Coturnix japonica: one gene and its partner. The protein of the gene in region 2 binds, or shares a complex with, the protein of the main gene of each other region. Links are inferred from orthologs where the notes say so. Each region holds a gene or a part of one and is shown on either strand. Other genes may lie near its edges.

Evidence for each region.
Region 1: the proteins of SPTLC1 (region 2) and ORMDL3 are in contact, whole or in part, in a cryo-EM structure (PDB 7K0N), measured with the Homo sapiens proteins. The link is inferred for Coturnix japonica from reciprocal best matches to the Homo sapiens genes SPTLC1 and ORMDL3. Residues at the interface, in NP_006406.1 of Homo sapiens: Ala16, Leu17, Ala20, Pro21, Tyr23, His24, Leu27, Glu28, Leu31, Ile32, Trp34, Ile35, Leu38, Leu39, Ser41, Lys42, Thr43, Tyr44, Lys45, Leu46, Gln47; in NP_001307730.1 of Homo sapiens: Gly92, Val93, Gln94, Phe95, Thr96, Ala97, Lys100, Thr103, Ile104, Ile107, Tyr110, Phe111, Ser114, Tyr119, Gln121, Phe124, Thr128, Leu131, Met132, Leu139, Pro140, His143.

What each region holds. Positions count from the first base shown.
Region 1 is NC_029542.1:3,977,107-3,981,398, forward strand, and holds the start of ORMDL3 (ORM1-like protein 3), read left to right. Parts: upstream 1-1,249; 5' UTR 1,250-1,652; coding exon 1,653-1,717; intron 1,718-3,728; coding exon 3,729-3,924; intron 3,925-4,292. UniProt on the Homo sapiens protein: Plays an essential role in the homeostatic regulation of sphingolipid de novo biosynthesis by modulating the activity of the serine palmitoyltransferase (SPT) in response to ceramide levels.
Region 2 is NC_029547.1:39,798,725-39,803,285, forward strand, and holds the start of SPTLC1 (serine palmitoyltransferase 1), read right to left. Parts: upstream 2,939-4,561; 5' UTR 2,871-2,938; coding exon 2,802-2,870; intron 1,823-2,801; coding exon 1,715-1,822; intron 1-1,714. UniProt on the Homo sapiens protein: Component of the serine palmitoyltransferase multisubunit enzyme (SPT) that catalyzes the initial and rate-limiting step in sphingolipid biosynthesis by condensing L-serine and activated acyl-CoA (most commonly palmitoyl-CoA) to form long-chain bases.

The DNA of each region.
Region 1 (4,292 bases), on a different chromosome or scaffold from region 2:
CGAGGTCCTCCAGGAGCAGCCGGCAGGGGAAGCTGTGGCTGTGGGCAGGGAGATGCTGCTGTGTGATGCTCAGGATGCCCCGGTCCCACCCAGCAGCAGCGATGTGCCGGATCCATCCTCCGGCCCATGAGGGCGCACACGAGGCGCTCAGCTCTACGAGCAGCTGGTGGGGGGGGGGGGGTTGGGGGCTTCAGCACCGAACGACCCCAAAGCTGCCTGAAAAAGACCCCGCCGAGCGGCTCCGCCGTTCTGCACCCTCCGCTGCTCCCCGGCAGGAGCTGAGCGTGCACAAAGCCTGCACAGATGGCTGCACGTGGGGAGAGCAGCGATGGCTGCGCTGACAAAGGCCGGGGACAGATGGTACCCAACAATGCAGCCCCCGGCCCTCAGCCATGCATGGTGCAGTGCATGCACCGAGCTGCGGGGTCACTGAGCACAGATAGCACGGATAGCAGGGCTGCAGGTGCTGAGGTGACCGCATCCCTCCATGCACAAAATGCAGGGGATCCGAAATGCCGACAGCTGGAGCCGATATCCCGATATTCCCACCCAAAACTCCAATGAACCCCAAGAGCTAAAGCTGCTCAGCCAGCAGCACACAGTGCACTATGTCCAGTGGGTATAACTCAGTATAACTCTGCATCACTCTCTTCCCTGGTTAATCCGCAAATTAACTCCATTTCCATGTTACACCCGAACACCGCGCGGTGCTTCACGCATCACGGGCCGTTAATTATGGCTACAACAAGAGAAGCGAACCAACACCGGAGCAGAACACGCACAGCACCGACCCCAAAGGGCACAAGGACCCCCCGGCCGCCCCGCTGTACCGTCACGGCGCAGCGCTGCCCCGCACAGCTCCGCTCCCGCACCGCCCCCCTCCATCCCCGCACGGCGCTGCCGCACTACAGCTCCCGTGGTGCCGGGCGGCGGGGCGGGCCGTGCCGAGGTGTCCGCCGGGAGAACGGCGGAGATCCCGGGCCGAGCCGGGGCTGGAGGATCCGGGCCGGGCGGTGAGTGCGGGCCGGGTGCGGGACCGGCCGGTTGTGCGGGGCACGCGGTGCAGCTCCGCGCTGCGGGGCCGTCGGGGATGGGAGACGGGGAGGGTCGGGCGGTGGGAGCGGGGCTCGGTGGGCGCTGCGGGGCAGAGGGCCGAGCCGTGCCGTGCCGTGCCGAGCCGTTCCGTTCCGTTCCGTTCCGTGCTGTGCCGTGCTGTGCCGTGCCGTGTTGTGCCGTGCCGTGCTGTGCCGTGCCGTGCCGCTGTTGGGATGCGGCCAGGGCTTTGTGTGCAGCTCCGGGTCGCACCGAGCTCGTTCACTTGTAGCGCTTCCTTTGTGTGCGGAGTTTCCCACCCCGCGGCCGTTTCCCACCGCCGTCCGATCCCGGCCGTGTTTGCTGCCGTCTCCGATCCGCCCGTTCAAACGGCGTTGCCATCTTGCAAAGAAAGGCTTTGAAATACTCGTTCTCTCGGGAGTTGGGGATTTGCTGCTGCCAGAGATTGGGATCGCGGCTCCGGCCGTCGGATCAGAATCTCCTGCGTGGCTGGGAACGAGCAGATCGACCGAGATAAGCACCTGCCGCCCTCCCCATCTCTGCAGCGCTCTGATCAAGCCCCGAGCAGGAGCTGCGGAGCCAGCACAGCAACCGGGGTGATGTGTTTGTTGGGTGGCAGAACGGAGCAGGAGGAGGGGATGCTCCTTTGGGGGCAAAGCAGGAGGTGAGGGATGCACGGGCTGCTCTATGGGGGCTGCTGGTGTCAGTTGTGCCACAGGGCAGAACAGCAGCGGGACCCGTGTGTGTGTCAGTGTGAGCAGTGAGGAAAGGCCCCAATCCCCCATGGCAGGGCTCTGCTCACATCCAGCTGTGCTCAGCACAGACGTCAGCACGGCGCTGACCTTCACCCTCAGCCTGGGGGAACGTTGCCCTGCCAGGACCCAACACTGCACAGCTGGGAAGTTGCAGCTCAGAGCAGTGCAGCTCCTGGACGTCCTCCTGCTTTTGTGGTTGGCTTTGGGGTTTCTTTCTGTCTGCAGGTGAATAAATCCCCAGTGTAAAATCAGAGAGCAAACGAGGAGGGATCTGGGCTGGGGGCGGGGAGCTGTGCATGGGAGCTGTGTTTGTTTGGGAGCTGTGTTTGGGAGCTTGCTCTCAGCCGGGCTTGTGCAATAACGTGCAAAGCTCAGTGTGCAATCTGAAGTGAGCAAAGAGCTCAGGCCAGGGCTGCAAACACGAGTCTGGAAATGGAAAAAGATTCAACAAGGAAAGGCTTTTTGAAGCTGGAAAAGGCCAAATTGGAAGAACACAAAGTGTTATCGCGTGGCCTAATGCTTGACCTCCCCACTGCTCTCTTGCAAGAACAAATTAACCTCCTGTGCTGTATTAATGAGAGCTTCACCACCCCAATCACTGCAGTGAGTGAGGAAACTGAGGCAGAGGAGAATTGCTTCACATTCAGCTTTGCCCTTTGCCACCCCACTGCAGTGCACAGCTGCCCTGCTTGGCAGACAGCAGCACGGAGCAGTTGCTCATTGGTTTTTAGTGCCATTAGAGCCATGGTTCATCCCAGACAGAAGCTGCACTTTATCCCACATCAGCTCTGTGTTCCTGCATTGCTCTGAACTTCCATTGCACACTTCACCCCACGTTTGGTCCCCATTCTCTGCAGGGATCCTTCATGCATTTGGGGTCCATCCATTAGCTCTCCTTTGAGTGTTCTCTAGACTAAACAAAGCCGTTTCCTCCGGCGTGGCCTTGCAGGTCATGTTTTTCCTACACCTCTGCTCATTCTCACAGCTCTGCCCTGGACTCCCTCCAGCAGAACTGGACATTACTCCAGCTGAGGCCTCACCAATATCTGGGAGGATTATTTCTCCTGTCTGGCAGGCAGCTCTCCTGTTTACGCATTCCACAGCGGTGGTTGCTTTTCTTCCTTCCCTTTTTCCCTTTCCCCCCATAGTGGGACATCTTCACCTCCTCTTACACTTCAGCACAACCCCCATGTTTCCTTCTGAGAGCCATTCAGGGCTGTGGCCACACTGAGGATGGAGCTGCTCTCCCAGCACTGACCTCCAGCTCCAATCCTGCCCCCCTGCCAGGCTGCTTTGTACCCAGAGCTGACAGCCACTAACCCAACAACCTGCAGATCCAGAGGCTCTTTCCTCCTAAACACAAACCTATTCCAGACCTGAAGCTCCCTGAGTGGCAGTAGAGACATGGGAGCATCCATCAGCTCAGCAGTGAGCATCCCAGAGCTGCACACGTGCTGTGTGAGTGAGCAGCAGGCAGGCTCAGAGCACAGCAGCTGCTGAAACAAACCAGGCCCAGCACTTAGAAAGGGAACTCGGAGTAGCTGGCAGGAACATCCAGAGCATAATGTCAGATCTGGCGTGGACTCGCCTCCTGAGACCAAGAGCTGGACAGAACAGCAGCTTGCTTTGGTTTTCAGCTGTGGAAAGCAAAGCAGCAAAAGCACGAGGCTGAACATCAGGGAGAAGTCATTGCTTTGGGATCTGCTGTGCAAGGGACAGGCTGTATTATTTCCTTGGGAAACAGGCTGAGTGTTTTATGCAAGACCTTCCCTGATCTCTGTGCAAAGATATCCTGCATTACAGCAGCTCTTTCCTGTAATCCCTGATCATTGGTAAGACAGCTCTCAGCTCCCCAGTAAGCTGTGAAACATGGATGAAAACAGTGACCTGAGCACGGACCTGCCTCTGGTTTTGTTTCAGAGGGGTGAAAACAAGAGCCAATATGAACGTGGGAACAGCACACAGCGAGGTGAACCCCAACACCCGCGTGATGAACAGCCGGGGCATCTGGCTGTCCTACATCCTTGGCATTGGGCTGCTGCACGTCGTGCTCCTGAGCATCCCCTTCTTCAGCGTCCCCGTGGTTTGGACTCTTACCAACATCATTCACAACATGGTAAGCCAACCCCAGCTCAAAGAGGCAAAATACTTTGGAGCTGTGGCCATCAATTTCGTGTCCTTTATGTTAACATCTGAGAGCATTGCAGTGGTGAATCCATCCTTGGGATTGCTTGTCTTATCTCCAGTGATATAAAAATACATGAACACATAAACCCAGAGCTATGACTGCTGGGGGCTGAGTGCAGCACAGCCGCCTGCATTTCACCCAGCTCCTTGCCCTGCTCAACCTTTGGCCTTGGGAACAGAGGGGAGCTGAGGGCAGCGAGGGCTGTGTGTTAAAGACATGTCTGAGCCCAACATTGCTTATCTATAAGACAGCAACGCATCCTTTCTGCCTTTTAGACAGCACTGAGCATTGCTGCT
Region 2 (4,561 bases):
CAGTGTTACGAATGCTGACAGTCAGCCTGAAAGCTAATTCTTGCACTAGGTTTCATAGTACTATTGCTACACATTTGACTAAACCCAGGAGACATGTCTGGGTGGATTTCTTCACTGTTTTAGAAGTGTGACTTGTAAGTTCACTAGATTGCACAACATATAATCTACTTCTCGTTTTCCAAGTCAGACTGGTCCTGACAGATCATGCTATATGGCTATGCAATACTGGTAGTCTTTGGTAACAAGTAGCATGTGAAGTCAGCTCTTCACTGGCAGCATCCCCAAGAGCAAGTCACTAAGAAACATCAAGTATTGTTACGTAACTGGCTGTCATAAGGGTAGTCTGAGCTCCACTGTGTGAGCTGACTTATCTCCACTGCCTGCATACAAAAATCCCAGTCATTACTTCTGGTGTTGCAGAGACTGGACACCACAGCTTGAATTAAACTAGGACAACGGAGAGGGCAAATAAGCAGCACTCTCCTTGCTGGCATGCTACTACATGTAGCTCAACAAACACAAAAGCCAGCTTGTACAGAATCTTATATTGCATTAAACAGATCAGCTTAAGCTATCTGAAGATTCTTAGTGAAGATTAAGATTTTCTTCGCTGCCTACAGCCATTTCACACACAAAAGAGCTTTTTCACATCACCTGCAAAAGTGACAGAATCCCACCATAGCTTTGATTTTTTAGTCTGCTTAAGTACTCCTCCAGCTGCAGAAGGCTTATTCACATTTTTACTTCACTGCTGTATTTATGATTACTTTCAATTAATTACAGAACTGCTTTGCATACTGCACATTTACATTATGTTATTGTAATGCGAGCACTGTACATTACTTACAACACATAAGCACTTTTTTACAGGACATTCCCTTCCAAATACAGCTGTTCATACTGAGAACATTCCTTCAATTTTCATAGATCGGACCAATTTAAATTTCCTTTATCAATTGTCAAATAACTTAAATATATCACCAGACTAAAAGGCATTTCCTCAATCTGTACTTTCCATCAAGAACAGTTAAGGCTGGAAAGGACTAAGGAGGTAATCAAGTCCAAGCTCCTTGATCAAGCAGAAATATCTAGAGCAGGCCATCCAGGAAACACCAGATACCGGTAACAAAAAGCTACAGGTGTCAATAATTAACATCTCAAGTCATACCCTTCGCTATACTGCAGCTCTTAGCACTTCAGCCTTTACTCTTCTTTGCCCTGCAACTGAAAATTAACGTATCCAGTATCCATATAGTGTAATTTTTTACAATTTTTATTCCTAGCAATTAACATTCCTTTCCACTTCTCAAGTTCAACAAACTTCACATGAATCTCATGAGAAGTACCACAGCAAGAACTTATTGTATGCAGTCGAGGGATATCTGTAAAACACATTGTACGCATTTATGTTTGTCACAACTTCTCTGGGCAACCTGTTCCAGAGACTCCCTGCCCTAGACTAAAGTCACTTTTTACTAGCTCATTAGTCTTTCCATGGTTATATTAGTTTTGTTACTTTGTTTTCTAACATTTTTAGACTCCCAAATGTCATGCTTACTTTAGAAGCATGAACTGAAGCGTTTAAGCAATTCCTTACTTAAAAGTTTATCCCTTGATATCCTAAGAAAAACTAGCATAATTTGCTGCAGCAGTGGCTCAAACACATCAGTTTCTACCAACTGTTCCCACAAAGAAAAATATTTTTCCACCATACCTTAAGTGTTAGATCAGATCGCTCTTGAAGCTTGTATGTTTTGGAGAAAATAAGCCTGATTATCCACAGAATTAGAATTCCTTCCAAAATAAGATGGTATGCAGGAGCCTGAAAATAAAGCACAAAAAGTACAATAACAAAATTCAATAGTCTCTAGTAGCAGAAGTAACTTAAGGTCTTTGTGTAGTTACGGCAACATTATTTGACACATGGTTTAAAGGATGAGTTCAGTTAATTCATTTCAGCAAGGTTACAGTCTATACTGCAGGTGCGTACTACTTCTAAAAGACTCAAAGAACACACACAGTAGAAAGATGATATTTTCTTGAGTGCTAGAACTTGAGATCACATTTTGAACCAGCCCCTGGGATTTTTCCCAAGCATTACCAACAATGCCACGCAGCTTTAAGACAGAACTTGAACCCAAAGTCATGTTATCTATTCACATCTGACCGAGAATAAAACTCAAAACACCTAACTTTTGCGAATTAACTATTCAATAAACTAGGTTTCCCAACTGAGACTGCTGTTTTGTTACCACCTGCCTGGTTTTGCAAAAGAAGTAAAACAAACAAGCAATTCCTTCCAGACAGCCTCGCTGATCGATATCAAAGAAAAGCCACAAACAGTGAGAAGAGCATGCTACTTGCCAGCAACTTCAAACACCATTTGGAAAAAAAAAAAACACAAAACACACAAAAACATCTTATTCTAACTGGAGGCAAGTCAAATGCTTGTTCAGTCGCTCACCCAAATACACACGCTACAGTCATTCCAGACTGCAGTTTTTTAAGCAGCCTGCATCTTTAAAAGATCTGTTGCAGCCTTGCACGCTCCACAGAGCTACAGGGAGGAAGGCGCTGGTGGAGCCGCCGGCGAGGCTCCACTCTATCTCGCGGCCGTTTCCTTCTGGGGGTCAGAACCCCGCTTTCCGCTGTCTGTACCAGGAAATCCCTACACCAGGACCAAGGCCGTGCGAAGCCGCAGCGAAAGAGCTCAGTCGCTCCGGTTGGGCCTCGGTCCCCACTGCGACTCCGTCGCGCAGCACGTAACCTCGCCTCCTCCCCCTCACCCCACGGCAACGCACCTCGTAGAAGGCCTGCACCATCTCCACCAGGACCCACTGCTGCCCCATGCCCACAGCCGACGCCGCCATGGCTACCTTCTCCAGTCGACTCACAACCGACCAGCTTCCGTCCTTGCCCCCCGACGCCGACGTAAGGGGAGGGGCCGGGGCTGAGAGGGGCGGAGCGTTTACAATGGCGGCCTAGCGGGTGGAGGGCGGAGTGTTGGAGTGGGCCCGGCGCCATAGCCTGTGGGGAAATGGGGGGGCGTGGGGATGGAGGGTACGCTGCTGCCAAGGACACTGCTAGTTTGGCTTTTTTTGTTGTTGTATTGAAACCTGATGCTCAACCAAGGTGATGTTGGCAGCAGCCACAGAAAATTTACCAAGTCAGAGAGCATAGTTGGTTTGGGGGAGCTTAGTCGTAAGCCCCAAAAACATGTCTCAACTCTTAGTGGGGAGCAGAAGGATGGTGCAAGGGTGTACTGTGCAAGCACCAAGGAGAACTTGAATATTGAGTTCTGTGATTTATTTGATATGCATAGAAGTGAAGCAAGTTGAGCACAGGATACATTTAGTATTGTCTCAAGCCACACACCATTGCCTCCTGGAAGTATTCTTACTCCTGATTCTGTAGTGCATTAGCTCTAGATTAACTAAATCAGTAAAAATCTGCTTCATGTTATCTGTTATCTCTCTGGAGATCACAAGCTTCTGCACAATGCTGTGCAGGAGTAAGGGCACCCATTGGTTAATGTACTTATACATTCTATGAATCTCAGTCTTTGACAGAATCTTGAGCTGCTTCAGCTGTAGTGATTAAAGTGACATGAAGTGGCAATGCCAAAGGACCAAATGTGACCTCAGCTGCTAGAAGCTGATTACTATCATTATTATCCTGAGCAACCAGTCCCCTTTTCTAACTGTTTTGAGTGAAACTTGGGTAGACTTTCAGATAAAAAATCTAACATATGGGATGTAGGCACAGTATTATCTCCTGCCTACACTTCTCTTTGCAGTGACTAGATGGGCTTTTCTGAACTGGGCTAAGCACTTAAGTTTCCAGCAAATGGCAGATGGAAGTATCTTAATTGACAATAGATAAGCCCAGTTATATGCTAATTAGAGAAAACTTGTGTTAGGAACTTGCAAGAGCATCCTAACCAGCCTGCTAAGATCACCAACAGAATAGACACAAAATGAGAATGCTTCCCTTACAGAGACAAGGTTACCCATATGCAGTGTTGCAATACTAAGCTAGGTTTTCTGTCTTGTGTGGTTAAATCCCACACCTCTCTCGTTCAAATCATACTTCAGATATACTCAGGTTGGGGATTTGCAAGCCAGAACTTTCTCTTGGGCTGTTTCCTTGTATTGCAGAAGGTGTAGGTGGATGGCTTACCCATTCCTCTATGTAAATACTCACCTGGATTGATAGCCACCTTATACTACAAAACCATAGTCAAAACAGCACACCACTTACTCTAAATCATTTCAGTTTGAATCTCTAATCTTTTAGAAACAGAAGTGCTGTAGTAAATACAACAACTTGGAATTTGTGTTTTTCAGTTCTTTATGTCCCACCTTTTCCTCATGGTGAATTGTCTATCTGCATATTTGGATTAAAAATATGGCAGATGTGAAGAGCGGACTTTTATCTGAAGTCACTGTAATAACTCCAGCAGTTTATAGCAGGTCCAGACCTGCTTAATACCTTAATTAACAATATGGACAATGGAGTAGAATGCACCTCGGTGAATTTGCAGATGACATGAAATTTGAGG